Saccharomyces cerevisiae S288C: one gene and its partners. The gene in region 4 interacts genetically with the main gene of each other region. Each region holds a gene or a part of one and is shown on either strand. Other genes may lie near its edges.

Evidence for each region.
Region 1: mutations in SEM1 (region 4) and YPT6 together harm fitness less than expected from each alone (positive genetic interaction), as found in Saccharomyces cerevisiae (5 studies listed by BioGRID).
Region 2: mutations in SEM1 (region 4) and RPN10 together harm fitness more than expected from each alone (negative genetic interaction), as found in Saccharomyces cerevisiae (10 studies listed by BioGRID, with this or other methods).
Region 3: mutations in SEM1 (region 4) and LSM1 together harm fitness more than expected from each alone (negative genetic interaction), as found in Saccharomyces cerevisiae (7 studies listed by BioGRID).

Annotation. Positions count from the first base shown.
Region 1 is NC_001144.5:663,856-670,867, reverse strand, and holds YPT6 (Rab family GTPase YPT6), read left to right. Parts: upstream 1-1,976; coding exon 1,977-2,624; downstream 2,625-7,012. Other genes in the region: RED1 (Red1p), read right to left, coding at 1-528; TMA7 (Tma7p), read left to right, coding at 1,206-1,400; VPS63 (Vps63p), read left to right, coding at 2,305-2,631; sphinganine kinase LCB5, read right to left, coding at 2,961-5,024; chaperone ATPase HSP60, read left to right, coding at 5,866-7,012. UniProt on the Saccharomyces cerevisiae protein: Protein transport. Might participate in post-Golgi transport.
Region 2 is NC_001140.6:496,706-504,917, reverse strand, and holds RPN10 (proteasome regulatory particle base subunit RPN10), read right to left. Parts: upstream 5,840-8,212; coding exon 5,033-5,839; downstream 1-5,032. Other genes in the region: 40S ribosomal protein eS4 RPS4B, read left to right, coding at 1-442; SMN1 (Smn1p), read right to left, coding at 722-2,530; PPX1 (exopolyphosphatase), read left to right, coding at 3,775-4,968; NBL1 (borealin), read left to right, coding at 6,059-6,131, 6,199-6,347; AIM46 (Aim46p), read left to right, coding at 6,496-7,428; AIM18 (Aim18p), read left to right, coding at 7,638-8,212. UniProt on the Saccharomyces cerevisiae protein: Multiubiquitin binding protein.
Region 3 is NC_001142.9:184,337-192,006, forward strand, and holds LSM1 (Lsm1p), read right to left. Parts: upstream 3,309-7,670; coding exon 2,790-3,308; downstream 1-2,789. Other genes in the region: NIT2 (putative hydrolase), read left to right, coding at 165-1,088; tRNA 1-methyladenosine methyltransferase subunit GCD14, read right to left, coding at 1,192-2,343; DUF5427 domain-containing protein MTC1, read right to left, coding at 3,668-5,104; ALB1 (Alb1p), read left to right, coding at 5,380-5,907; ribulose-phosphate 3-epimerase RPE1, read right to left, coding at 6,038-6,754; YJL118W (uncharacterized protein), read left to right, coding at 7,303-7,670. UniProt on the Saccharomyces cerevisiae protein: Component of the cytoplasmic LSM1-LSM7 complex which is involved in mRNA degradation by activating the decapping step.
Region 4 is NC_001136.10:1,199,792-1,207,629, forward strand, and holds SEM1 (proteasome regulatory particle lid subunit SEM1), read left to right. Parts: upstream 1-2,336; coding exon 2,337-2,606; downstream 2,607-7,838. Other genes in the region: ESC2 (Esc2p), read left to right, coding at 1-762; CDC40 (Cdc40p), read right to left, coding at 3,052-4,419; pre-rRNA-processing protein ESF1, read right to left, coding at 4,706-6,592; YDR365W-A (gag protein), read left to right, coding at 7,206-7,838. UniProt on the Saccharomyces cerevisiae protein: Versatile protein that might stabilize multiple protein complexes involved in diverse pathways. Subunit of the 26S proteasome which plays a role in ubiquitin-dependent proteolysis.

The DNA of each region.
Region 1 (7,012 bases), on a different chromosome or scaffold from region 4:
TTTTTTAAAACAGTTAGAGAGAATTTCCACCAGAAAATTTCCTTGTTGCAAATCTTGAATATTATCAAACAACTGACCAATCTTTTTGGCATGTTCTGTCTCGATCAGGTTAGTTATAATCTTTTTGGATTGAGGGACACTGCTGAGGATGCTGCTAATAACGGCCAAGCATTTCCAACTGACTGGATTTTCCATTGCGATGCCAGTCTCAAGTAAATAATTTAAAACTTTGGAGTCTTCGTCTATATTAATCTCAGAAGAAAATCTTAATTTTAAAATGAAATGCCAGATATCATCACTTGGAAGATTTGAATCGGTGATTTTAACGGCAACATTTATGATGTGAAATAACAACTCAAAATTTTGAATTACTTCTCTCTTTATTACTAGCAAATGGAGAAATTCCTGCAGTTGTTTAGAAGTTTCCAAAGTCATTAACCCATAGTGGATTCCTTTCGTTTCATTCCTAGTCTGTGCTAAGTCATTTTTCAGGCAAACACCAAAAATCTTTTTCTTCAAACCTTCCATTCTTATCACCGTATTTGCTGTCCCTTTGTGGTCCTCACTGATTAAAAAATCTTTGTTCTATTTTTCTTATTACCTTTAATGCTTCACGAATGATGTGAATGTTTTGCGAATGATGTGATTGAATCCATCTGATCCTGCTGCGAAATCGTAGTTTATTTAGCCGCTGAACCCTTTGAGCAAGTATTTATCGTTTTTAACGTTGAAAAAGTAGTCATATTCAAATTATATAAACCAGCCAATAATACGTTACTTTGCCTTTTTAGATCACACAATTAAGCGGATACAAGATCACCCATCATAAAGGGTTGGCAAACGCCATTGTTTTTGTCGAACCTTACCTGATATCTCCAGAAATCCAATGTATATCTTCTGTATGAAAATATGAATTGTGAGTGCACATGCCTTTTCTAACAGGGAAACCTGTTGTGATTTGTCATTGAATGTGATGAAAAGCTCCTCCAGTCGCCTCGGCTTGGCTTGGCTTGTCTTGGCTTTTTTGGTTTATTCTTTCTGTCCTGAGATAAAAATTGTAGTAAATCTATACTTCTGGAAGTTTCCCGCGACGAAAATGAACGAGGAAAATAAAAAATTTCATGTTTAAAATCCTGTAATTGATTGCTCTTCCACGCACAGTAAGTTGCAAAACCAGAAGAATAACTGAAAAACCCTAAGCAATCATGTCTAGTCGCCAAGGTGGTAAGATGAAGCCTCTAAAGCAAAAGAAGAAGCAACAACAGGACTTAGATCCTGAAGACATTGCCTTCAAAGAGAAGCAAAAGGCCGATGCTGCTGCTAAGAAAGCTTTGATGGCTAATATGAAAAGTGGTAAACCTTTAGTGGGTGGTGGTATCAAAAAATCTGGTAAGAAATAAAAGGCCTTTAACAACGTCTAATAAAAATTTACTCAGTATTTTCTAGTTCTCGTTTTTTAAGTAAATACATATATTACCAAAGAAAAGCTATTTGCAAGATATATCGTTCTTTCCGATGTTTTACAATCGTAATTACTATGTATAATGGTTACATCTAGCAAATTTGGAGGTTTCCTAAATAAAGCCCCTTGCGTGTCTCTCTAGAGGTACGAAAACAACTGATATATAATGGACCCTTTTCTATTGTGGTGACAGGCATAAGGATAAATATTTATAGATGGCTAAGGAAAATAAGAAAAATACTTCTCCCTATTCATGAACCGGGCATCTTGAGTAGAATAGGGTGCTTCTATTCGTTAGTGCTGGTATTAACTTCTAGTGAAAAATGGCCGAATAATTTCCGGGTAATAAAGCCTTCAGCACAGCTCAATTAGTGGAGGAAAATATTGCCCATATATAGATTGTTACTATGTATGATGTAAGAATATCACAATTGGGCACTTAAGGTTGTGTGAAAAGAAGTGTTTGAAGCTGTTGATTCTGAACAGTAAAAGATAAACAAAGAAGAGATTAACAATGAGCAGATCCGGGAAATCATTGACAAAGTACAAAATTGTTTTTTTGGGAGAACAGGGTGTTGGAAAAACATCGCTGATCACTAGATTTATGTATGATACGTTCGATGATCATTACCAAGCCACGATTGGTATAGATTTTCTTTCCAAGACCATGTATTTGGATGATAAGACAATTAGATTACAGTTATGGGATACAGCAGGTCAGGAAAGATTTAGATCATTAATACCTTCATATATCAGAGATTCGAGAGTTGCTATTATCGTTTACGACATTACGAAGAGAAAATCATTTGAATATATTGATAAATGGATAGAAGACGTTAAAAATGAAAGAGGTGACGAAAATGTTATATTGTGCATTGTTGGTAACAAAAGTGATTTATCAGATGAAAGGCAAATCTCAACCGAAGAGGGAGAGAAAAAAGCAAAACTATTGGGTGCTAAAATCTTTATGGAAACGTCCACAAAGGCAGGCTATAATGTCAAAGCTTTATTCAAAAAGATTGCCAAATCGCTGCCTGAATTTCAAAACAGCGAGTCAACTCCTTTGGATAGCGAAAATGCAAATAGTGCAAACCAAAATAAACCGGGAGTCATTGATATTTCTACAGCAGAGGAGCAGGAACAAAGCGCTTGTCAGTGTTAGCACCTAATATTTCAGTTCTATAGGGCATAAGGAGAACTCTTTGTGTGCGTCATATTTTTTAGTGAACTACCAGCACATAATAATTGTACTGATAATATTAATAATAATCATAATCATAATGTACTTGACGATCTGATGTGTAGGAGCTAGTACTCACTAAACATGGTTGTATTAAAGAATGGTATTAAAACTTTTTATAAAGAAGTATGGAGTGTATAAAGTTATCAAACAACAACAAAAACAACAACAACGTAAAAAAAATATAGAAGAAATAGAAATGACATATTCTAGTTTTTGATTAATTGTTCAGTACGAAGGAAAAGATTAAGTAAAGTGTCACATAGAATCGAAATCTGTGTCCACATAACGGCCATTTCTCAGTAACGTCTTGCATAAGCGTGGCATAATTTCGACTTGAAGGGGCTCTAGAGGAAATTTCTCGCCATCGACAGAGAACAAGCCGTTCCCTAGCTTTGGTATTATCTTGTATGCCAAAATTTTAGAGTGTAAGACTTCCGGTTGTAAAACATGGGAACCCTTATCTAGTCCCAGCAGGATTGGTGCCATCCTCGTCAACGAGGTTCTTGCATCGGTGATAACCATATCCATTGTACCATCTGAAGGAAGCGCTGCCGGAAAGAATTTAGTGTCAGCAGCCACATATGGCATTTTACCCGTATAGAAGATACCTAGGTTGTTCGAAATATTAGGATCCAATCTTTCCCAGTCACTAGGGATACCTTCATCTAATGGATATTTTATTTTGAAATCTTCCTCTTTAATTTGATCAGCACTAGAATCTGCCAGATCACGAGATATCAAGTGGGAGTCTTCGTCATCCGCATCCGCATCTTCATCTTCATCTTCGTTTTCGGTTTCGTATTCATTTTCGTAATTGTAATTATCACAATCCTCGTTATCTTTGTTCATAGTAATATGCTGGAATTCTAACGACCCTTTATTTTTGTGTTCCAGGTAATGATTTTTTAACTCGTTTTTTGATTTGGCAGCATACTTTACATATATCTCACAAGGATATTTTTTTTTTTGTATGATATTGAAGGCTACACCCAATTCAAACCTTGCAGGTCCCATCCATCTAATAAATTCAGTGTTTATGTCAGTTTCTGCAATGAGACCATATGTTTGACTTAAAAATGATAACTTTGGGTGCTCTCTTGCATAAGAAGGCTGCGAACAACACATCAAATCAATTCTAGTCTCTATCGATTTAATTAAGCATAAAGTTGAGTACGAAGGATTGTTTGTCCAGTGGCAGGATACGCTCATTGCGTTACCTGATCCGCATGGAATTTCTGTAATGGCGATATTGTTGAATGCTTTGACATGATCAGGCCTTTGGTATAACCCATTGATCACCTCATGAGGAATGCCATCTCCCGAAGCGCAAGCAATAGTGTCATATTTGTCAATATCCATTTCCCGCGCGATCTCTATAGCATGACCAGGGTATTTTGTATAAACCACTTCTATGGAACACCGACTTGCTAATAGTAACGGCTTTGCCTTTGTCATAAACAGTTTTTTCGCCTTACCTTTACCACCAAACGGATTAATGATCACAAATATGGATTTGTTCCTTCTAGTGTTTTTGTAGCTTCTCTTTAAAATCTCCTCAACCAAGTCATCTTCTTCTTTTAAGTGAGAAGATGAATGGGGTTTATAGTCAATATACAATGAAACCCTTTTGGGTACAACGTCATGCCGTCTTGGCCTAGCAAATATAACCTCTACTAGTTTCGTAAAAGGAGATCTGGAAGTCAGGAGGCTACTACTACTGTTACTTCCTCGCGATAGCGAGTTGCCCTTCCTTTCTTTTTTTTGGGAAGACTCTAATTCATCAAGATCACACTTTTCACTAATGTTACTCATTGAGCTGCTTAAAGGTGAACTGGGTGATGAATTGGCATCATAATAATGCAGAGGTTCCTTTTCAATGTATCTGGCATCCAGAATTCGTCCATAGGGGATAACGGTGTTTGCTGGCAATTGACCATTCACCGAAGGATAATGAAGTTTTGGATTAGCAGAAAGATCATCTTTACTTGTATCCGTTGTCGATGTTTCCGATCTGTCTATTGTATCAGTATCGCTTAAACAGGTAACACAGCTAATTAGTGAAGCCGTTTCAAATATACTGTTGTTATCACTGTTGCTTTGAAAGCTAGTTCTACTGATGTTGCTTTGAAAGCTAGTTCTACTGATGTTGTCAATGCTGCTGCGACTTCGTTTATCTGCCATTCTATTTGCGTATGTGTAAGGACTTGATGGTTTTGCCTTGATCATTATTCCTTCCTCAGTCAGTATCGCTGACGTTATTTGCTTCTTCCTGGAATGGCGAGACCTGCCCTTACGTCTCTTTGAAGGTTTCAAAGTCATCTCTTTTGGCTTACTGTTTAAATCTTACACTATTTGTGGTTTTTTCGAGATAATATCAAGAGTCCTTTTACTCTTCTTTTCTTTCCTATTTTGCAACACGTATATACAACAGTTTATGCTGTAGTTATACTTTTTTGATTGTTTTTGTATAAATAGATTCGGCTCACGCAGCTTACGTTCCCTTTCTTCTTCGCCTGCGAAGGCTTTAACAAGGCCCGAAAACACCTTGATTTGCAAATCTAACTATGAATCTTGCAGAAAAGCGGTGGCAACTGAAAGGGAAAAAAACATAGATTAAAAGAAAGCAACATAGTAACATAAAGGAAGAGAAAATTTTGATGATAAAGAAGATGAATAATATACCTAATGCATCCAAATGTTCCTCCTGTTATACTATTGGGAATTATTGCGAGTGCATCCATTCGCGCAATGATCAAGTAGAACGCCAAGACTAGTTGTGCAAAGAAGTACAGTTGAAATTCCAGCCAGTTATGTCTCATCCCTATTCCACTGTTTTTGTAGGTATACAATGGTGTTACGAGCAATTGAAGCTGTTTATTGCCTGGTATTACCTCTGGAAACTTACTTTATAGCCGCCCATCTGTATATGTCATCATATACGGACCTCGTGGAATTTTCCAGAAAACCAAATGGGGAGGGTGACTTTAATTTTGCTTCGTTTTGCCCGGAGCAGAATCCAGACGGACATTCATGTATATATATTGAAGGAGACTAAGTTTTACATTCATTATGTAAGGTCGTGGTTGCGTCTTCATGCACTTCCTTGAATAATATAAGAAAATTCCCACGAGAAAACATCATAAGCAAAAAAGTTTTCAAAATGTTGAGATCATCCGTTGTTCGTAGTCGCGCTACTTTAAGGCCTTTATTGCGTCGTGCTTACTCCTCTCATAAAGAATTGAAATTCGGTGTAGAAGGAAGAGCCTCCCTTCTTAAGGGTGTCGAAACTTTAGCTGAAGCGGTTGCTGCTACTTTGGGTCCAAAGGGTAGAAACGTTTTAATCGAACAGCCTTTCGGTCCTCCAAAGATTACTAAGGATGGTGTTACAGTTGCCAAATCTATTGTGTTGAAGGACAAGTTTGAAAATATGGGTGCCAAGTTACTACAAGAAGTTGCCTCCAAAACCAATGAGGCTGCTGGTGACGGTACTACTTCTGCTACTGTCTTAGGTAGAGCCATCTTCACAGAATCCGTCAAAAATGTCGCCGCTGGTTGTAACCCTATGGATTTGAGAAGGGGTTCTCAAGTTGCAGTTGAAAAAGTGATTGAATTTTTGAGCGCCAACAAGAAAGAAATTACCACATCTGAGGAAATTGCTCAAGTAGCAACCATTTCTGCCAATGGGGACTCTCATGTTGGTAAGTTACTAGCTTCAGCTATGGAAAAGGTTGGAAAAGAAGGTGTCATCACTATCAGAGAAGGTAGAACATTGGAAGATGAACTTGAGGTTACTGAAGGTATGAGGTTTGATCGTGGTTTTATTTCTCCATACTTCATCACTGATCCAAAGTCGAGCAAGGTGGAATTTGAAAAGCCATTGCTATTGTTGAGTGAAAAGAAAATTTCTTCCATTCAAGATATCTTGCCAGCTTTGGAAATTTCCAATCAAAGCAGAAGACCTTTGTTGATCATTGCTGAAGATGTTGACGGTGAAGCTCTTGCGGCTTGTATTTTGAACAAGTTGAGGGGTCAAGTTAAGGTTTGTGCTGTGAAGGCGCCTGGTTTCGGTGATAATAGAAAGAATACAATTGGTGATATTGCAGTCTTGACGGGCGGTACTGTTTTTACTGAGGAGTTGGATTTGAAACCAGAACAATGTACCATAGAAAACTTGGGTTCTTGTGACTCTATTACCGTTACTAAGGAAGACACCGTTATCCTGAACGGTAGTGGTCCAAAGGAAGCTATTCAAGAGAGAATTGAACAAATCAAAGGCTCCATCGACATTACCACCACAAATTCATATG
Region 2 (8,212 bases), on a different chromosome or scaffold from region 4:
CGATGAAGAAGCCTCTTACAAATTGGGTAAGGTCAAGAAGGTCCAATTAGGTAAGAAGGGTGTTCCATACGTTGTTACCCACGATGGTAGAACTATCAGATACCCAGACCCAAACATCAAGGTCAATGACACTGTTAAGATTGATTTGGCCTCTGGTAAGATTACTGATTTCATCAAGTTCGATGCCGGTAAGTTGGTTTACGTTACTGGTGGTCGTAACTTGGGTCGTATCGGTACTATCGTTCACAAGGAAAGACACGATGGTGGTTTCGATTTGGTTCACATCAAGGACTCCTTGGACAACACTTTCGTCACTAGATTGAACAATGTCTTCGTCATTGGTGAACAAGGTAAGCCTTACATTTCTTTGCCAAAGGGTAAGGGTATCAAGTTGTCTATTGCTGAAGAACGTGACAGAAGAAGAGCTCAACAAGGTTTGTAAACATTTTAAATATTGTTATCTGCCCTCTCTTCGTCTTTTGTTTAATATAAATAAATTCTAAATCAACTATATATATGTATGTATACATATACATATACATATATCAATTATAAAAAAAGTGACAAGCATTATACATACAATTTTTCTTTTTTTTTCATGAAATGTGTAACCAGTGTGCCTCATTAGAGACAGGGACGAGAGAGCAAAGGTGCAATTTCCGCTGCAAATGAACTTTTTTAAACGATGTGCATAAATAAATAAAAAAAATGGCAGAATACTCTAAAATTGAGAAAAGTAATCCCGTAATAACTTTTTGGTTGAATCACCACCATAATGGGAGCAGTCATTGGTGGTCAAGTTCTCCATACGTAATCCTAAATCATTTATGATAGAATTTACGGCGTTTAATATATCGAGTTCCATAAAGGAATAGAAGATAACATGAACCATCTTCGACGGATCAGCTTCCTCTTCTTGCACTTTCTTCACCTCTTTACATTGCACTACATTGGGGATATCGTATTCTCTTTGTGAATTGTGAGGTGTGTCATCACCATGACACCCGAAATCGTCTTCTGTGGTGTAGCCTTCGCTTAAATTTGGATTATTGATGAAGGGACACTTCTGAAAACCGCCAAAATGCTGTTTGTGATGAGACGATGATGGTATTCCTAATGAGGCAATGACAGGGCCCTTGTTCAAATAGGTTTCCACCCTGGAGGCAACGACCAATGGAACTGTGATGAAGCGCCAATCATTATTGAATGGCATCACTATATACTCAGTATCCTTTGTAAATGGGCCTTTGTAAAGATCGTACCTGACAGAGCCAGTGTTAATCAAAATGAAACGACTCATCGAAGGTTCATAGTTTTTGGGAGGAATTAAATTGGGTAAAATCTTATGCGTGATCAAATGATAAAGATTCTCTTCGGAGTTTAATGGCCTTGTTGAAACGTAGTAAGTTTGAGGAATGTACCCCAGTTTCTCGTTCAAATTTAGTTCATGGCGCAGATCATTCACCAAACGAGAAATAGTTTTACCCTTTTTCGTTGAGACTGGAACATTCGAGTCATGCCCTAGTTTGCTCAAATGGTATTTGAAAGCTTCCTTGTTAAAGTCAATATACCTTCTTGAGAAAATAGGACTTTCGGCGTCCACAGGGTCAGTCATATTAATTGACAAGAATCCCACAGTTTCCGCAAATCTACCACTTTGTAAACAAGTAGATTTTGAGTCCAGCTGTACAAAATCCCTGATATGAGTGTGCCCTCCAAAATATTGTATAACAGTATTTGGGTAGTATTTCCTTATTAGAGCATGAATTTTGTGCATTTCACGCTCTGTAGGGTCAGTGGCAGGCAAATGACCAAAGACAATAATTAGGTCGATTTCCTCCTCTCTGTTTGTCTCAACCATATTTTGGAACCAGCTTTTTTGAGTTATTTCTTCCAATGGTGGTGTTACGATGGCTCTGTTATTTGCTCTTTGAAAACTAAACAAAAATGATAATGCCAGGACTCTTTGTTTCATTATGGGAGTCTCGAATGTAATGTATTTATTCCCGAAAGGAACCCTTGTTCCGTCATCTTCAATAAATTCTACGTTGCTGCAAACATATTTGTCTTTGAATTTTGAGGACTGAGAAGTTCCTCTATACTCTAGTATGGCACTTTCAGCTGTATATAGCTCATGATTACCTAACGTTAAAAGATCGTAATCCATCATGTTGAATATCTCCGAGCTTCGTAGGCCGGGGGGCCAAGTAGCATCACTCAAACCATTACCGTCTCGTTTGTCGCCAGTGTCGATGACTATTACGTCTCTGGACTGTCGTAAAATTTTTTCTCTAAGTATATCTACAAATGCAACGAAATCTCCCCAGTCAGCATCATAGTCGTTTTGTGATAGATGGGACCCCAACCAGCCATGAGTATCGGTTGTATGGATAAAATTTATATCCCCTATATGGATATCTCTTAATGGTACATCCTGCGACGGCGCTAAAACTGCCTGTTGTTGTTGATACGGCTTTGCAAAGATTAATCCTGTAAGAGCAACTAAACAGTGTACAAGCTTTAGTATCATTTTACACTGTTGCGCACACCTTTATTGCATTCACTCTCTTTGTTATTGCTGTAGTTCTTGTTGACGGCTTGAGGGGAAATAAGCTTATCGGCTTTTGCAATTGGCGGCTAGTTGGCGAAAGAGCGACTGATCGATAAGGACACTAAAGTAAAAAATAATATTAAAGATATACTGTAGAAATGTTTCATTATGGTTGTAATAATAATTTTACGTCATGCAATGGTTCAGATAGAAAGTTCGAGTTTGCTCTGGAACACAATTGTTTGTTTTCCTGCTTTCAAGTTAGTGCCATCTACTCTCTAACTACGGACGCCTTTACCGAAACCTATCTAGACAAATGTGTCTTTCTTGGAATAATATGAGCGTATATATGATAACGTTCGGGTGAACCTAATGCCTTGGTTCCTTACTCTATTTTGATCACTTCCTTTTTCGTTCGTTTATACATTTTGTTTCTTTTTACCAATATTCAACTTCTGAACACATAGATTTTAATTAAGATACAATTTGGCGAACTTAATTTGCAAACGATTTTACATGTAAGAAATTGTTGTACTGAAATCTTGATGTTAAAAAGTGTATGACTTTTACAACCTTTAGCAAGTATAATGGTTTGTGAAAAGAACCGTAAAATATAATCGTCATCTTAATAAGTTGCTAATGAATGATCACTGAAATTTCTACAGCAACAAAATTTATAACTCAAGTACAGTCGTGTTTTGCTTTCACTACGATCAATAGTATTATTATTACCGATGATTCCACTGTTAGTGTTATTATATTCAAGAGTGTACACTTCTCGCTAAGTAATGAAGAAATTTGCACATCTCATGTGTACACTCATTATACAAGATCACTTTCAACAAGCATTGAGTCACTAGAAAATTACAAATTATTTTCCCAGGAGGTGTAAAATGGCATATGTTTCTGCTGTCCTTGAAAAAAGTATGGAATAACCAGAAGCTTTGATAGAAAACGCCGAGGATAATACTCTGTGTAAAGCTCTAACCTTCATTCATTTTGTCACATTATCCACCTACTTGAATTCTAATTTAGAATACGAGTCGAAATAGTCTCGAAGAATAACTCACAACCTTTTTCCTATTATCTGTATGCTATACATGCCGCTGATTTTTCATTTTTTTCACTTTTAAGAGTAGAAAAAAGAAACGAAGTGTACATAATTAACTAAAGCCACTTGAAACAAATAATCAAAAAGTTCAAAACACCGATTGTTAAGAAAGATGTCGCCTTTGAGAAAGACGGTTCCTGAATTTTTGGCACACTTAAAATCACTGCCAATTTCAAAAATTGCAAGCAACGATGTGTTAACAATATGTGTTGGTAACGAGTCAGCAGATATGGACTCAATTGCTAGTGCAATCACTTATTCGTACTGCCAATACATATATAATGAAGGTACTTACTCGGAGGAGAAAAAGAAAGGAAGCTTTATTGTCCCAATTATCGACATTCCTAGAGAAGACCTCAGTTTAAGAAGAGACGTAATGTATGTCCTAGAAAAACTGAAAATTAAGGAGGAGGAATTATTCTTCATTGAAGATTTAAAGAGCTTGAAGCAAAATGTCTCCCAGGGTACTGAATTAAACTCTTACTTGGTAGATAATAACGATACACCAAAGAATTTGAAAAATTATATAGATAACGTCGTTGGCATTATAGACCACCATTTTGACTTGCAAAAACATTTGGATGCTGAACCTCGGATTGTAAAAGTGTCCGGCAGTTGCTCATCGCTGGTTTTTAACTACTGGTATGAAAAATTGCAAGGTGACCGTGAAGTGGTGATGAACATTGCACCACTTTTGATGGGGGCCATCTTAATAGACACTTCAAATATGAGGCGCAAAGTCGAGGAAAGTGATAAATTAGCTATCGAGAGATGCCAAGCTGTTCTTAGTGGTGCGGTTAATGAAGTGTCTGCGCAAGGTTTAGAGGACAGCAGTGAGTTTTATAAAGAGATAAAATCAAGAAAGAACGATATTAAAGGATTTTCGGTAAGCGATATTCTAAAGAAGGACTACAAACAATTCAATTTCCAAGGAAAGGGACACAAAGGGTTAGAGATTGGTCTTTCATCAATAGTAAAAAGAATGTCTTGGCTATTCAATGAACACGGTGGTGAAGCAGATTTCGTCAACCAATGCAGAAGATTTCAGGCGGAGAGGGGGCTCGATGTATTGGTTCTGTTGACTTCATGGAGGAAAGCTGGTGATTCACACAGAGAATTGGTCATATTGGGAGACTCTAACGTGGTACGTGAACTCATTGAAAGGGTTAGCGACAAGCTCCAACTTCAATTATTTGGGGGCAATCTTGATGGAGGTGTGGCGATGTTTAAGCAACTGAACGTCGAGGCCACCAGAAAGCAAGTCGTCCCCTATTTAGAGGAAGCGTACTCAAACCTGGAAGAGTGAAGGGAGATGTTATATATGCTTTATTTGGTTTATATATGACCCATATAGATATTTTTGTACACTACTATTTGTCTTGGTGTTGTTCAGGCTGTTCAGACTGCTCAGGCTGATCTTGTTGTTGTTGCTGCTGTCTTAACCTTTCCTGTCTTTGCTGCTCTTCTTCCATAGACAGACGCAAGGCCATTGCCAGTTCTGGGTCCATTGATGGGTCTACCCCGAAGTCCATAAATGTGCCATTGGCATCGGAATCACCGCCAGACCCACCAAAGGCGCCCATACCGGAGGATCCTTCTTCGAGAATTATGGGTGAAGATGCGATGTTCTCGTACAGCAGTCTGGGGCCAGGCGTCACAGTAAGCAAATGACTAGTTTCTTCTTGAGGGTTGTTCACTGCAGCTATGAACTCATCCAAAAGCTCCGTGTTCTGTTCAATCTCTCCAAAATTGATGATGTCCACGGCAACATTATTCTTTTTCAGTGTTTTTGCCAATCTGATCAATTCGTCTCGAGAATCACTTATTGGGCTACACACAAATGCCACAATCCTTTGATGTTGGACCTTATTCTGGCGATGCTTCAAAGTCAGCTGAGCGATCTGCAACGCAGTGGCCATATGCAGCTTACCCTCGATCTGCGTGTCGTGTAGTCCAGCAAGAATCTTCCCAAACTCGGCGGTAAACGTAGATAACACCCTGGGGTTGGCGCCAGCACCAGAGATAAGACCCACTGTATTCTCAGGATTGCTGTTTCTCTTGGCTTGAAATATGAACTCTACCGAGTCGATCTGGGCTTCAAACCTTGTCCTAGGAAAGTCGCCATTGCGAGAGTACTCTGAATTATCAATCACTAACACTGTAGCTTCCAATACCATTGTGCGGTTACTGCTGAGTTATTTATTGACTTTTCCCTTCTTTCTTTACGCTTTAAAAGTCTGATATAAGTGTGTATTTAGTTGTAAATTCCGGTGGCGAAAACCCGCCTGGCGGAAATAACCCGGCAGCTATAATGCCATATAACTTCAAGAGAATACAATTGTAAACAAGAAGTGGCAACAACATCAGCAAAAGGGCAGCTGCCGCACTCGGTTACGATGATACCGGCTCTCACTCCCGAAGAACGGCAGAAGTTGCGCAGCGCAATACTACATCGAATGCAGCTGGAACGTATGTCACCTCACCGCAACACTCTACCCCCAACCTTCACCCGCACTAATTACTAACACAACCTCAGTGGAAACAACAGAAAAACTGATCGAAAATATTAAAGAGGAGACGTTAAAGAAACTAAATCTGCTCCAGCAGCCTGATGCAACATCAGCGCCTCAATCAAAGGAACTAATCAGAGAGGTGCTTGAACAGGAAGGACGCCGTATAGAATGATTAGTTCGTATAATGGACCCTTTCTCGGTATTCGCAATGATGCACCTATTACTAATCAGCGGCCGATTTGTTGGTATTAAAGCAGCGTGTGGTTACATCCCCTTGTTGAATACATGTCTACTTAGCAGAAGGCCAGGTATATGGAAACATGCGTTTAATCAGTAAAGTTTTGGTGAAAACAAATTGCCTAGAGGTAGGTATGAGGAGGGCCCCACAATGGTATTCTCACTACTCTACTACAGCGGGCAATGCTCGTGTGAACAAGAAGGGCAGCAAAGTAGTGCCTGTGTTAACAGGGTTAGCACTGGCATCCATATTCGCGAAGAAATGGTATGACGATTCCCAGATCAAAAAGGCGGATGCCACCAGCGTTGCAGTGGACGCATCCATCTCTGCGTTCCCTAAGAAGATGGGCCCCCCACAGTGGCCCTTCTCCACGCAATATGAGCTGATTGGTAAGGGTGTACGTTGTGTCTCATCGATCACTTTCAAAGCATATGGTCTGGGCATATATGTGGCCGCTGAAGACAAACATCTGGTCTCTGAAGTACTGGACTCAAAGTTCCTGTCTCAGGCGTTCATCGACACTGCGGCACCCCCATCACCGGAAAACTCACATCAGGATAATTTGCGTGCGGCTTTGAACGATCCTGCTAAGGCCCCTATCCTGATTAATAACCTCTTAGACAGCGGAATCAGACTAATGTCCAAGAATACTCCGATAAAAGCAGGTTCCTTCAAGTTATTGATGGACGGCACCAAAAAGAGCGTCCTAAAGAACCCAGATTCTCAGTCTCAAGACAAAGACCGGCTGGAAGCTGGATTCCAAGAATTGCATGACTGTTTCAGGAGCGTAAAAGGACTTGTGGCTCGAGATGATGATTTTTTCATTGAGCTGAATAAGGACTGCTCTATGAATTTGTCTTACTACGCAAGAAAGAAGGATGAATTTGTGATATTGGGCACAGTGAAGGAACCCCTTATTGGAAAGCTCTTATTTGCCCACTACCTAGCTGCTGTGGATCCTCCTTCTCCGGAGGCTAGGAAGGAAGTAATCGATGCACTCGTCTCTCTATCTTAGGACACTTTCGCCGACTTCTACATACAATTACATAATACATACGCTGTTCCAAAAGCTGCACATATACTCTAATGATGTTTTTTTGAGTTTCCTTTCGACTCAATTTTTCTAGGAGGGACCCCTCAAAATGTTTACAATGCTATTCGGTTTTGACAAGAAAAAATCAATTCAAAACTCTTACGGCGTTACAACCGCGATAGAATCCCTTCATGGACAGAGGAAGGTGCGCCAATATGCTAAAATCACTCCAGCGAACACTAGCTAAATGTCAGAAATCTCCATCAACCAACCATTGGCAATGTTTCAAAAGAAATTTTACTAGTATACGAGCCACTAAATACCCTGGGCGTTCTAATTCGACGTTCCACTATTGGCCCTGGTTTGCGGCGTCAACATTGCTCGCTACTTCGTTATACTACCGTGATCGTCCGGTACAAAATGACGATAAAACTGATGCTTTTCCTTCTCATACTGAATCGATACAGGTAGACTCTAGCGTATCAGATTTCCCACTAACGATTACTGCTTTAAATTTCCCTGTCTCTACAACTTTTAAATTACTGGGATATGGTCAAAGGCACGTCACGTTTTTGAGGTTCAAGGTCTATGCCTTGGGTCTTTATCTAGCTGAAAATGACGAAAACCTTGTTTCAGACACTCTAAATGAAACTTATTTACATAAATATTTCCTTGATGTGGATGATTCTAAGACTCCTAAGGAGAATCTAGCTAGATTATTGAAACGTGATGACTCAAAATCCGTTATGATGATTGATGACTTACT
Region 3 (7,670 bases), on a different chromosome or scaffold from region 4:
ATTTTGCTCTTTTATATTTTTCATTTTTTTATTATTTTAGCTCACGATCCGCATCTCGAATTTTCAGAGCTTACTAGATTCTAGGCCATTAGAAGTAAATGAATAGAGGTGAAATAAAATTCATACCCATCATGAAGTCTCCTTCATAAAATATAACACCGCAAATGACTAGTAAATTAAAACGGGTTGCTGTCGCACAATTATGTTCATCCGCTGACCTGACCAAAAACTTAAAAGTGGTAAAAGAATTGATATCTGAAGCCATTCAAAAAAAGGCGGATGTCGTTTTTCTCCCTGAGGCAAGTGACTATCTTTCTCAAAACCCTCTTCATTCCAGGTATTTGGCACAGAAAAGCCCCAAATTTATTCGGCAATTACAGTCAAGCATTACCGACCTTGTCAGAGATAATTCACGGAATATAGATGTTTCCATTGGGGTACACTTGCCGCCCTCAGAACAAGATTTACTTGAAGGCAATGATCGAGTCAGAAACGTTCTATTATATATCGATCATGAAGGGAAAATATTGCAAGAATACCAAAAACTGCATTTGTTTGACGTAGACGTGCCAAATGGACCGATATTGAAAGAATCAAAATCTGTCCAGCCTGGCAAAGCCATTCCTGACATTATAGAGTCTCCATTGGGAAAATTGGGCAGTGCCATTTGTTATGATATTCGCTTTCCCGAATTTTCTTTGAAATTACGATCAATGGGGGCTGAAATCTTATGTTTTCCCAGTGCGTTCACTATTAAAACAGGGGAAGCACATTGGGAGTTACTAGGCAGAGCAAGAGCGGTTGACACTCAATGCTATGTGCTCATGCCAGGGCAGGTTGGAATGCACGATCTCAGTGATCCAGAGTGGGAGAAACAATCACATATGAGCGCTCTCGAAAAAAGCTCCAGGAGAGAATCTTGGGGACACTCAATGGTCATTGATCCTTGGGGTAAAATAATAGCGCATGCCGATCCCTCTACTGTTGGACCACAACTAATTCTCGCTGATTTGGATCGTGAGCTTTTGCAAGAAATAAGGAACAAAATGCCCTTATGGAACCAGAGAAGAGACGATTTATTTCATTGAGGCAAATAAAATATGAAAAAAGCCTTTATTCGTACAGATTTGCTTTACATATTAAAAATTTCAAAAACATATAATTTAAGTATATAAGTAGTTAATCATTTAATTATTTTTCCGTGGATCGAAGAATTTCGTTAACTTTTTCATCATCTCTTGATCTATTCACAACTTTAAATGCAAAAGTCAAATATGAGGTATGGGATTTGATCTCAGCTTCCATCTTTGTGACCTCCTTCCATTTATAATTACTATCACCTTCCTTGATTCGAGAACCTTTGCCAAAAGGATTAAATTTGGCCTTTTCTGTTAATGGTACGCCATCCTCGTTTCTTTTTCCAACTTTTTCATCGTTAGAATCTATTGTATTGTTAAACATCCGCTTGCGTCTTTCTACACCCTGGAGTTTGTGCCTCTTAATATCTCTCAACCTTTCCAGGGCATCATTGAGTGATCTGACCATTTGTCTTCGACTTTCGTACTGTCTACCTTGAATTTCCACCATTTCAACATCCGTCCAGCCATATTTCTCTAATACATCCAATGTTTTGTCTACTTGCTCAATGCATGGGGAGAAGCAACACAATCCGACCTTTTCGTCTACGGAAATAACAGAATCCAGATGAGGTATAGCATCCCAGGGAGCCGGCAGATCTAAAAACACTACATTTGCATTCAATGAAGCGGCGGTTTCATTATTGCCAAATTCGTAAGATGTAGTGTCTCCCTTCTTTATAAGAAATCCACCTTGGCAAACATCCCGATGTGTAATCGTAACGTTATCATCAATAAGTCCATGCTCTTTGAATTCCTCTAATGCTTGTTCGTATCTTATGTGATGAAATTCAAAACTAAAAAGATGACCTACAGATCTTGCAAAAGCGTGCGAAAATGATCCTGAGCCTGTACCTGCCTCGATCACTCTGCTGTGAGGGCTACAATTCAACCTTTGCATGATGTAGGAAGAGTCGGGCGTATATACAATTTGAGTTCTGTGTGGTAACGACAAAGTCCACAATTCAGGAGTTGGTTGCAGAACATGGACGAATGCAAACTTATTTGAGCCCTTTGTTCTTATAGCAATTTGAGAACCATAAGGTTTACCTATGATATCCTTATGAGGAAATGAACCATAACGAGTATTGAATACCTCTTCGGAATGCATCCTTACCGGTTTGATGTTATCTCTAGAAACCCATATTAGAGTTAAATCGCCTTCCTTGATGAGGTCTTTGTAACCGGAAAAACAATTTGTTGACATTTCTAAATCTGCGTAATCTTAGCTACCTGATAGTCCCACCCCGATCTTATTCACATATATTTTCTATATACTTTAAACAGTTTTAAAAGTGATGAGCATGGAAAAAAATTCGTTGCTAACGGCATGGCATAAACAAAAAGCGAAAAAATTTTATAGATAATAATAAAGAAAAAGTATCAATAGCATGAGTGTTAATGTTATAACGAAGTGTAAGAGGAAAAAGAATGCTGCGCAAATACGTTACTTCATAAAAAAACTCAAGTACTGTATATATTTTACATTTAAATATATTAATTTATATACAAATACGGCCTCCTCTCTTGCATTTTTTTTATTGTTCCATCTCCAAAGGCAGTTGATTAAGTGTACGGATAGGTAAAACTGAATGTGGAAATTTTTGAGAGTTTACTCCAGGATATATGTTGGTAGTATTGTGTTTTTCTTTCTTAGTACATGTCAGATTTATGGAAATCGTAAACGATACCATGGCGGGCCATTTTTTTACCTTTGTGGGTTTCCTCTTTAAACCTTTTCTCATCATTTTTTTGCTTGGTCAGCCAAGCCTCCTTAAATGGTATGCGTTCCATGGCCTCAAGGGGTTGATCTTCTTTATCGATGTCTACTTCGCCTAACATGACAACATTTTCACCACGAATCATGAATATGCCGCGGTCTTCTTCAGCGTATTTGTTTTCTTCGCTAAAATATATTCTCTCCACGCAATCTTGAAGTATCAAATTTGCATATTGGTCAAAGGTTCTTAGTACACCGAATAGCATTCTTCCATCACGCAAAAGAACGAAGATTTTACGGTCTACTGAGCTTACAATAGCAGCGGTGGTAGTGAAGTTATACTGGTCGAGATATAAATCGGCCTCACCTTCTGAAATCTTCTTTGGGAAATTCTGCTGTTGTCGCTTCGCATCCTGATTGGACTGATTTCTGTCCTTGCTATTTGCAGACATTTTTGGTGAATTAATTCGATTCGAGGGCTGCTTTCTTTTATAGGTTTTGAAAGCGGAGCAAATGTTGGTATAACTCTACTGCAGCGTTGGCAATCCTGTTGAAAAGGAAAAGAAAATATAACTAAACTGTGTTACTTGTATCTTCACTAATATTTAATCAGCCCTTGGTCATACAGGCTTCCCCTAGATTGAAATACAGGTGCTGAACACCGTTGTATATTCACGACTTCCTCTATTTTTTTCATATTTTCCATTATTCAACGAACGCGGGTAACAAGTCGGCCGAATTTGAACCCACTCCTCTGCGCTTGTAACTTTATACATCATCGTTACGCTATAAATGTTATGTATTAAGTGTATCAAAGACCCATACGGTCAATGACATAATTCTGTGCCATGACCCCAAATGACAAGCTTAATCCATCTTCGATCCATTCCTTTACCCATTCACTAGGATCAATGATCTCATCGTCTTCGTCTTCGTCTTCACTTTCTTTTTGTTTCTTTTGATCGTATGACTTATTCCTCTCCTCACTTGCTGTTGATCCTGTTTTCTCCACGGATCCTTCTAGCCAATTGACCCATTTGACAGGGAATCCTTGTGATCTTGTTATGGTGGTAATATCGTTAGTTATGTCTTTCAATACAAGGGTGAAATTGAAATTGCCTGGCGTATTGGAGTCGGTCACTTGAAAGTCACCGTCGGCATCTTTTTGTTTTTGCGGAATGGCAATTGGTAAGATGGATATGAATAAATCACTGATTTTATTGCTGTTACTGCTAATAGAACTCCTATCGTCATCTGGAGTGGCATCAGCCTCTTTCTGTTGTTTCTGGTATTCCTCATGTGCAGTATTGAAGAGTTTGACTGCATTTTCCAGGTTTGCAAATGCCAGTTTCTCACCGTCTGTTACCTTGCCGTCGAATAGATTAAACTGTAATTTTTTTTTAGAGTTGCCTAACTCACCGTCTGCAACTGAAGGCTTTTTTTCCACAGGTGTAATTCCATTATTGTTAGGATGGCCCCATTCATCTACAAATATTCTGATTCCTCCCTCAACTTGTGAGCTTAGAACTTGATCAAACTTGCTTTCAATATTGTATTGTAATGAGGGATAGTTAACCAAATCATGGACTAGATGAATTCGCAGCACCTCTTCAGTCTCACCAACAACGATTTTCTGTAAGTTTCTGGCTATTTCAGTAATCGTGCTCGTGTTTATCTTTGAAGTCAAATCAAGCTGTTCTTGGGCAAGTCGGTTTTTGATCTGGGATGCTTGTTCTGCAGTTTTATTCCAAATACTCGATACCTTTGCGGATCCAGAGGAGGACCACCAGTTTGAAATAGAAGCAATTGGGTCATGCAATGGGGTCTCCTCCTCCTCCTCTTCTTCTTCTTCTTCTTCCTCCTCTTCTTCTTCTTTCTCCTGCTGCTGTGGTTCCTTTTCCTTTCCGTGAGCGTCCTGCTCGGAATTTTTGTTTTCTTTTGATTCTTCTACTTTTTCGTCTTGTGCTTTATTATTAACTGATTCACTGGGAGCCTTCTTTTCAACCCCTTTCTTGTCAGTTAAGCTTAAGTTACTCTTCTCCAACTCTTCTAAGAATTCAAAGATATCATCGTCACCTTTCTTTCCATCATTCCCGGTCTTGCCCGCCACAGAATTAGAACCTCCCTTAACGCCTTCTTGGCTACCCTTTACGTCAGTATTAACCATTTTCCCGCCATTCTTTGCTTCTGGCAAAGAATCTAAAAATTCAAATACGTCTTCAGCCTCAGAGTTCTTATTTTCAGACATTTTGCCCTGGTAGTATGTATGTTTTTAATCGATTGAGTCTAGTTAACCTGTCCCTTGTTCTATTCTTCACCGTCTCGTCCAACTTCCATCAAAGAACCAGAAACCAGAAAATCGCCGGTTTCTTCCACGCGTCAATCCGTTTGGAATGATCTCATCGCAAAATTTTTTTTCGCTAAAATTTTCATAGAGAGTATCAATATTAATATATGGTTATAACTTATGGCGGCATTAGTCGATGAGGTGCTTGCCGAAGAGACTAGCACAGCCAACCCATAATGCCTTCTAAAAACTCCATCAACAGACCTAAGCTGACTTCAAATTTGCACCACAAGGTGCACTCTTTAAATAAGAAAAGAGCTCAAAGAGAAAGAGCTGGTCTCTTGAAGCCAGCTAGATCCAGCGTAAATTCGAAATCTGGGGAAATAAAATCAGTAGCGTTGGACCTATACTTCCAAAACAAGAAGAACGAAAGTCAGAATTCCACTGCTGTGACATTACAAAATGCTTCATCTTCTCCGGCCTCCATCACCACGAGGACACTTTCCAAAAAGAGAGCTAAGAAAATCGAGAGAAACTTAAAATATGCTACACAGAGAAAATTATTGGTTGACGCAAGCGCTAAGCTAGAAGACGAAATGGATATTGATCTAGATGGCGGTAAGAAAGTGAAAGAGAATGAAAAGAAGAGTTCTTTGACTTTGGTTAAGGAAGCCTTATGGAGTGTCATTGACGATACTGCATCCCAGGGATTGATCATCGAAAACGGACAAGGCACCACCCTGGGCGGCCCATTTTTCCCATGAGTTAGGCACTTACGTATCTTGTATAGTAGGAATGGCTCGGTTTATGTATATTAGGAGATCAAAACGAGAAAAAAATACCATATCGTATAGTATAGAGAGTATAAATATAAGAAATGCCGCATATGTACAACTAATCTAGCAAATCTCTAGAACGCAATTCCTTCGAGACTTCTTCTTTCATGAAGGAGATAACATCGTGCGGGTCAGCTGCAGTGAAAACACTGGTACCAGCGACAATAACGTTGGCACCGGCTTTGGCGGCTTTCGGGATGGTCTCCTTGCCCAAACCACCATCGACTTGGATATTCAAATGGGGGAACTTGGCTCTCAAAGTTTCCACTTTTGGCATCATGTCTTCCATGAATTTTTGGCCTCCAAACCCAGGTTCCACAGTCATAACAAGAGCCATATCCAAATGAGGAGCTAGTTCAAATAAAACGTCAACAGAAGTACCAGGTTTGATGGCGCATGCAGCTTTGATGCCCTTAGACTTAATCAACTTAACTAAATGCAAAGGGTCTTGTGTGGCCTCGTAGTGGAACGTAAATTGGTCAGCACCACATTTAGCAAAATCGTCGACCCATTTTTCAGGATTTTCAACCATCATGTGACAATCGAAGAACGCAGTGGGCTTCTTTTCTGTGTTGCTAGCATCGCCAGGGCGTGGCACAGAACGACGTAGGGAGGTAACAATTGGTTGGCCCAGAGTAATGTTTGGAACAAAATGGCCGTCCATGACATCGATATGTAACCAATCTGCGCCGGCGTTGATGACCTTATGACATTCGCAACCCAAGTTGGCGAAGTCAGAAGCAAGGATACTGGGAGCTATAATTGGTTTGACCATTTTTTCTTGTGTGTTTACCTCGCTCTTGGAATTAGCAAATGGCCTTCTTGCATGAAATTGTATCGAGTTTGCTTTATTTTTCTTTTTACGGGCGGATTCTTTCTATTCTGGCTTTCCTATAACAGAGATCATGAAAGAAGTTCCAGCTTACGGATCAAGAAAGTACCTATACATATACAAAAATCTGATTACTTTCCCAGCTCGACTTGGATAGCTGTTCTTGTTTTCTCTTGGCGACACATTTTTTGTTTCTGAAGCCACGTCCTGCTTTATAAGAGGACATTTAAAGTTGCAGGACTTGAATGCAATTACCGGAAGAAGCAACCAACCGGCATGGTTCAGCATACAATACACATTTGATTAGAAAAGCAGAGAATAAATAGACATGATACCTCTCTTTTTATCCTCTGCAGCGTATTATTGTTTATTCCACGCAGGCATCGGTCGTTGGCTGTTGTTATGTCTCAGATAAGCGCGTTTGTTATGCGAAAAAAAAAAACTTTACAGAGGCTTTGTTTATATATAGAAAGACCACGAAAAAAACAGTGATGGCTTCATGCTTTTCAGTTTCATTATTGGCACGAGTAGCAGTCGTTGAGCCCATCAGAGTGCAACTTTGGTTAAATGTCGTAAATTGTATGATTGAATCATCCATGCACCAATGTCCTCCACGGGATCGCCACTTTTTTTCTTCATCACGCCCCATTTTGTTGATCCGACGTTCTGTATCAACTGTATACAGATTCGTTGCTTCTCGCACCACACAGGTTTTACGTGCGGCCAAGACCGTTGTCAAGTGGTTCATTATTGTCGACCCACTGATAAATTCTATTCTAATCAATTATCTCATTGATAGGCTCTGCACTCTTGGGCATGCTGTATTGCGAGTGAAAAAGCGCAAGACCGAGGAGAGACA
Region 4 (7,838 bases):
TTTCTCTCTAAGCTAGAAGGAACTATAAATAAAGCGGTCCAAGTGAAGGTCCTCGGAAAATACGAATTTTCAAAAATACTTCCTGCTGCTTTGGACGGATTGATGAAGTCCTATAAAATTCCGAAGGTAATGAAAGATATATACAAGGTAGAGAATGTTACTCTTTATTGGAACAATGCAAAATTACTCACTTTTATGACTTGTAATTCGCTACATATCCCACAGGATTTTGAAAATGAAGTCTCTGATATCGATGTTACTATCGTATCCAAAGAATACGAAAAGAACTTTGAAGCGACACTGGAATCAAAGTTAAAGGAAGAAGAAGCTGCTTTACTCATAAAAGAACGTCAGGAGATGGAAAGGAAGTTAGAGAAAAAGAGAAATGAACAAGAAGAGTCCGAATATCGCGAGTTTGAATCCGAATTAAAAAACGTAGAAGAAACACAAGAAATAAAAGAAAATGATACAGTTATGAATACAAAACTTCTGCAAGAGGGTGGCTCTTTGTCAGGAAATAGTAGTAGCATGGAAGAAGTTATGAGAATCGCTCTCATGGGTCAAGATAACAAAAAAATCTATGTCCATGTTAGGCGTTCAACACCATTTTCTAAAATTGCCGAATATTACAGAATCCAGAAACAGTTACCACAAAAGACGAGGGTTAAATTACTTTTTGATCATGATGAATTGGACATGAATGAGTGTATAGCCGATCAGGATATGGAAGATGAAGACATGGTTGATGTCATTATTGATTGAGCGCAATTTGCTAAAAAAGGCCGAACTCCGGCTCTTTACGTGCCACAATTATTATTTACTATGGGCGGCGGGTGTGTTGGTGGTGCTTGCGGTACTTGTAAAATATTTTCTGAATATAATTGAATAAGACCTTTTGTGTTTAAATCATACTCGGGTAATTCTCTGTTCAAAAAGTAGGTGCTGACCCTCTTCTACCTTCCGTGAAATATTATAAAGGAATTTTTCCATCTCTAACTCAACATGTTAACGCTTTTCTATAAAAATTTGATCGCCTAATGAATACAAAAATCTCTTCAGCTTTTTCGTGCTAGGTTTGAATAGTACATCTAACGTAGAACAACTATCAAAACAATTTGATATTTCCTCGGCTATAGTTTTCTTGGAACAAGAGGTAAACTACTTCTCTATTGTTGCTACAGCAGTCAATTAAAATAATTCGTTTCATCATAATATTATGATATCAACGCTAAAAGGTTGTATAAATTACGAGATCAGCAGAAAATAAAATTCAAGCCATCATCCTTTAAGGTGATTTGAAGGGCAAGAATTGGTAGTGTAACTGCATCAATGAGTGATTAGGTGAAAACGAAGAAAAATAATAAATATGGTACTGTGCAGAATTGTTGATTTTCTTTTTTGAACTCTAAACCATCAAGAATGGCTTTCACCCACTATTGTTACACATAGTACTATTACTTACACCAAGATGGGATCCGACAAATATCTCAACACTATATTGGTCTACATGCTTTATCGATTGCTCCTTATTTACGTATTTCTATAAATAGGGCGTACTTTACCAACAGTGATCATGGATGCAAAAAATGTGAATACATTTATATGGAAAAAAGGTTTATATCAATATATTTTAAAGTGATTGAAAATTACTGATGTGTTTGATATTGTTGGAATAAGAATCAACCATCATATACCCGACTAACGTTCATATTATTAGTAAACTATCATATACAACCTAAGAAGTTGACATAAAGATTGACAAGCAGTTACCATTTTTAGTAGAAGTTGAAAAGCAAGAATTGATAACCAAATATTGTTTTCCAACAATGCAATCCCAACCCTATCTCAATATTCATAGAATTCACTTATTTCTCAGTTTAATACATGATGATGCATCTTGATATTGAGAAATTATATGTATTATCCCTTTTTAACCTTTAAAAGGTCACAAATAAATAGCCTTGTTGGCGCAATCGGTAGCGCGTATGACTCTTAATCATAAGGTTAGGGGTTCGAGCCCCCTACAGGGCTAATAACACATTCAAAATGTTATAAATTTTTTTTCGGGTTTGTGTTTAAAACTAACCTTCTAAAGAAAACAATAAAAATTATATCAACATTTCCTCATGTCTTTGTAACCTACTAGTAGGGATTTTGAAGGGCTGAAAGCTTCTTAGTTCTGTCGGATCCATTATATTATCATTATTTACGAAACTAGTGCTATGGGTGGCGAACGTGGTGGGCGTTACCTTTTAAAGTCCTAATGGAAACCTACCTATGCATAAAGTGAATAGAGTGGCAATAAAAGTCGAATAATAGTACAAATACGCAAAAATATGAGTACGGACGTTGCTGCTGCACAAGCCCAAAGTAAAATAGATTTAACAAAAAAAAAAAATGAGGAAATAAATAAGAAGTCTCTAGAGGAAGACGATGAATTTGAAGATTTCCCCATTGACACATGGGCCAATGGTGAAACAATAAAAAGCAATGCTGTAACGCAAACAAACATATGGGAAGAAAACTGGGATGATGTTGAAGTTGACGACGATTTCACCAATGAATTGAAGGCCGAATTGGATAGATACAAACGGGAAAATCAGTGAGGGGCTACATAACATTATTTCTAAATAACGCAAAAGGAAATTATACGTCTAATGTTACTTTAGTACATTGTTGTCATACTAGTATATTTTGCTTAGATGATAAAATAAATAATAAAAAGAGATACGAAAGGCTATGCGGTAGTCGATTATATGGCCTTGTAGTATAATAATGATGCACGCAAAGTATTAAATAACTCAGCTGAGATTTCTCATTTCTTTAAATGCAGTCTCAGTTTAAAAAATTAACTATATTAAGATCCGCTCTTTCTACCATATGATGCAAATGTGTCCTCGAACTAGTACTTGCAATTTCAGGTAACCCCAATCGTTTCTTTATTATTGTCATTTTTACTATCATAATAATATCATCCGTAATAACAATTAAGTAACAAATCACATCCATGTAACCATTTAATTTGTTTCAAGTAACATTCCGAGTGAATAGCTAGTCACATACATATATCTTACCTGCCGCTCCGCTGCAAATGACTTTACTTGTTTCTTGAGGATGCCAGTCCACTTGAGTTATAGGCTTGTTGCCTGGAATCTTGATGTTATTTAATAAGCGCGACGTATTCCAATCCCAAGTAAATAGTCTGCTTTTTGAATCGCCTGAACATATGTAACGACCATCACCAGAAAAAGCCAAGCTTATCCCATAACCAGCAGATGAATGCCCTTTAAATATCTTTTTTGGATGCCTCTTATATTTGGGTTTCAAACTGAAAGAATATATTCTATTATCCATGCTTTGTGCACAGAAATAGTTCTGAGACGGATGTACATTTAAAAATGGCATAGAATGTTGAGCCGTGTCACTTATTTGTTTTATTGGTACATTGATCTGATTTTCCCAAATTCTTACCGTCTTATCCTCTGAAGAAGAAATAAACTTCGAACCATCGGGAAAATACTTGAGAGCCAGAATGCTACTTAGGTGATGATCATATGTCTGCACAAGACCTTGATTTTCTGAAACACGATCATCATAATGTAATATTTTCGAATTCGATAAACCTACAATGAACTCATGTGGGTTAGTGGGCCGAGATTCAACATCTGCAGGCGTTGAATTAAGGTGCAACCTGGTTTTCACTTTACCAGTTTCAGTATCCCAAATTTTAACGCTTCTATCAAAGGAAGAGCTCAAAAAAGATTGACAGTCTTCGGTGAATCGTAATGCTTTAATAGGCTTGTTATGACCTTGAAAATCTCGTAGGCATTCATAGTCATGGTAGAAATCCCAAATTTTTATAGTATGATCATTACCACCAGAGAGAATTAAGTGTCCAGTTTTAGGTAAGAATTTCAGGGCAGTGGTTCCTTCTGGATGCCCCGGATAATTACGTATAACTTTTTTTGGTAAGTAACACCGAAAGGATATCCTTTCCTCACGAAGATCAACATCGACGTCATTTGGTGGATATAAATATCCTCTGCCTTGATAGTCCTTTTCTGATTTACCATAAAAATGGGAGACTTCCTCTACCTCTATCTGTTCCGAATCTAGGTTGTCCTCAGCCAGCGCGTGCACGAAGATATCCTGATCTTCTTTCTGAGTTTCGCTGGCTTGTGAAGTTTCATCGTCACTACTTGACCAACTGCCCCACGGCCCATCTCCTTTGCGAGTTTTCCGTCTTCTTTTTAGTTCTGACTTTGTAAAATGTGATTTTCTCTTATGAATATTATTTGAAGAAGGTTCATACGAAGTATCTTCATGCAAATTACCATTTTTCTTTTCATGAACAGATTTGCCTTCGTCGAAGTTCAAATCAGAGTCTGAGCTTGTGTCATAACCGTCTACTAAACCCATTTCATCTGCTCTTCAAAGTACATGCCGTGTTTGTTGCACTATTTGGCCAAAAATAAAGGAAAAATTTCAAGATTTTTTTTTTACCTCATCTCTAGCAAGGACACAGTACTCCCTCGTAAATAAGACAAAATACAAAAAAGAAAATTCAAAGAAATGGTATTACAAGAACCGGTCAGAGAAACATTACGATAATTGATATCAACTACAAATCCAATGATGCATTCTTTATAATTGTACATATCTATTTGTATTCAAGTTTCATTTAAATACTATTTCATTGACTGCTTTAAACCTTTACCTTCTTGGATGATTTGCTTTTCTTTTTCAACTTGTTTACCAAGTTACCAATATCTTCATTATCATCTGCGTTATTGGTCATATTGTTTTCACTACCGCCAAGTTTTCTTTTCTTATTCTTAACACGTTTACTACGTTCTTTTAGGATTTTACTCATAGCTTGTGTACCTTTGAATTCAGGCTGGGTCGGGTCGATAGCAAAATCGTGATCTTCGAAGACTTCTTTAAATCTAGGATCTTCTAAATCAGGTGTAAAGGTGTCTTCAACAATTCTCTCTTTCTTTTGATACCGGCCTTTCTTGTGTTTTTCTTTTTCTGATCTTAAGATTTCGTTCATGTTGAAATGTGCTTTGTTATTTATTGTGCCCTGAGTTTCGGTATCATCATCATCATCCATTAAAAGCTCCAATTCAGCCTTTGATTTGGCATTCTTTTCGATCTCCTCTTCATCGTTAGTATGCTTTTTATTAACAGATTTCAACTTGCTTTTCTTATCCTTCTCCGACTGCTGTTTCAATTCCTTTACTTTCTGCTTTCTTGCTTTACGACGTTCCTTCTCTTTTCTTCTTATTTTCTCTATAGTCGTTTCTTCTTTGTCTTCCGACGATTTCTCGTTTCCTCCTTCCAAGGCTGGAGTAAATGTAATTTCCATATCAACTTCTTCATCTTCATCGTTAGGGGTTTCTTTCTTGGAATTAAACCCAAAGTCACCAACCAACGACTTTAGTTTATTTTTCGCCTCTTCATCGACCTGCCCATCCGATTCATCACTATCTGACGCCAAGTAAGCCTTAAAGTCCATATCATCAATTTCCTTTTGGGTAAAGGCCCTCTTAGCAACTTCGACCCTATCAGCTGGCGTTTCATCCCAGGTCAATTTGACGCTTGAATGTTGTAGAGCATCTGTGCTAAACTGGTGTGGCCTATAGTTCTTAGGCAATATACTGCATTCATCTCTTACATCATCATCAAAAGTCATACCATCAGGAACATACCTTAAATCGAACATATTAGCGGTTGACTCATATTCGGTACCATCACAGTTATCATAGATAGCTTTGGAGGTGGTTGTATCACTACAATAAACTATTGCGTAATAATATCTTAATCTGTCCAACTGGTATTGACGTAAAGCTCTGGAATCCACGTCCTTGTCAGCATCTCCCTCTTCATAAAGATCCTTAATACCGATGTCCATATCAGAATCAGAGTCATCAGTTTTCTTCTTTTTGGAGGTTTTGTTCTTATTTTTCTTTTGGAAAAGTTCCTTTGGAGGTCCTTCAACTTCCTCGCGTTGCATTCTTTCTTTACCAAATTCACTTGGATAAATAGCAACTCTTTCAATTTTACCACCTTTAGGAACGAAACTGGAAAAGGTAATCATCAAATCCTCAGATTTAACATGGTCCCAATCTAAATTTACGACGGCCAAATTCTTAGAGATGTCACCAGATTCTGGTTTGGCATTTTCAATTTCTACTTCATTTTCTTCTTCGCTTTCAACTTCACTTTCTCCGGACGATTCAGAATCAGAAGAAGTGAATTCATCAGAAGAGCTAACATAATCATCAGGAACTTCACCACGGGCACGGTCCACTACTGTTTTCGCATTAACTTCTGAATCTTCATCATTTTCTGCTTCCTTTTCGAAATATTTGTCGAAATCTTCCAATTCCCTGTTATTCTGCGCATTTTTGATCTTTCTACCATACTTGTCAACCTTAGATTTATGCTGGACCTCCAGATCCTTCTTACTGAACCTAGAATCTAACTTGATCTTATGATCTTTGGTTTTCGTGTTCTTAAATTTAGGATCGCTGTAGATCCCGGCAAACCTAGCATCTACACCTTCCTTCTTTGGGTTCTCTCCAGCCATCTTCAATTTTTCTTGCAACCTTATACGATCCGCTGAAATGTCTTGAAAAATATTCCGGACCCACAGTTATGTGATATTTATTATTTGTACCATTATGCTAATGATGAATTTGAGATGAGATGAGATGAAATTTTTTCTGTAACTGAAAAATTTCGGAACGTCAATAATGATCGGTAGCCTCATCTGGGATATTTGGCCCGGCTCATATTGCTAATCTTTGGATATAGGGCTATTAGCAGATTTCAATCGTCCTCTCTTGGCATAGTAGACACAGAGTTGTATTTGCGCTTCTGAGCGATGCTTCCGAGATTGTTGAAGCATGTTGGAATAGAAATCAACTATCATCTACTAACTAGTATTTACATTACTAGTATATTATCATATACGGTGTTAGAAGATGACGCAAATGATGAGAAATAGTCATCTAAATTAGTGGAAGCTGAAACGCAAGGATTGATAATGTAATAGGATCAATGAATATAAACATATAAAATGATGATAATAATATTTATAGAATTGTGTAGAATTGCAGATTCCCTTTTATGGATTCCTAAATCCTTGAGGAGAACTTCTAGTATATTCTGTATACCTAATATTATAGCCTTTATCAACAATGGAATCCCAACAATTATCTCAACATTCACCCATTTCTCATGGTAGCGCCTGTGCTTCGGTTACTTCTAAGGAAGTCCACACAAATCAAGATCCGTTAGACGTTTCAGCTTCCAAAACAGAAGAATGTGAGAAGGCTTCCACTAAGGCTAACTCTCAACAGACAACAACACCTGCTTCATCAGCTGTTCCAGAGAACCCCCATCATGCCTCTCCTCAACCTGCTTCAGTACCACCTCCACAGAATGGGCCGTACCCACAGCAGTGCATGATGACCCAAAACCAAGCCAATCCATCTGGTTGGTCATTTTACGGACACCCATCTATGATTCCGTATACACCTTATCAAATGTCGCCTATGTACTTTCCACCTGGGCCACAATCACAGTTTCCGCAGTATCCATCATCAGTTGGAACGCCTCTGAGCACTCCATCACCTGAGTCAGGTAATACATTTACTGATTCATCCTCAGCGGACTCTGATATGACATCCACTAAAAAATATGTCAGACCACCACCAATGTTAACCTCACCTAATGACTTTCCAAATTGGGTTAAAACATACATCAAATTTTTACAAAACTCGAATCTCGGTGGTATTATTCCGACAGTAAACGGAAAACCCGTACGTCAG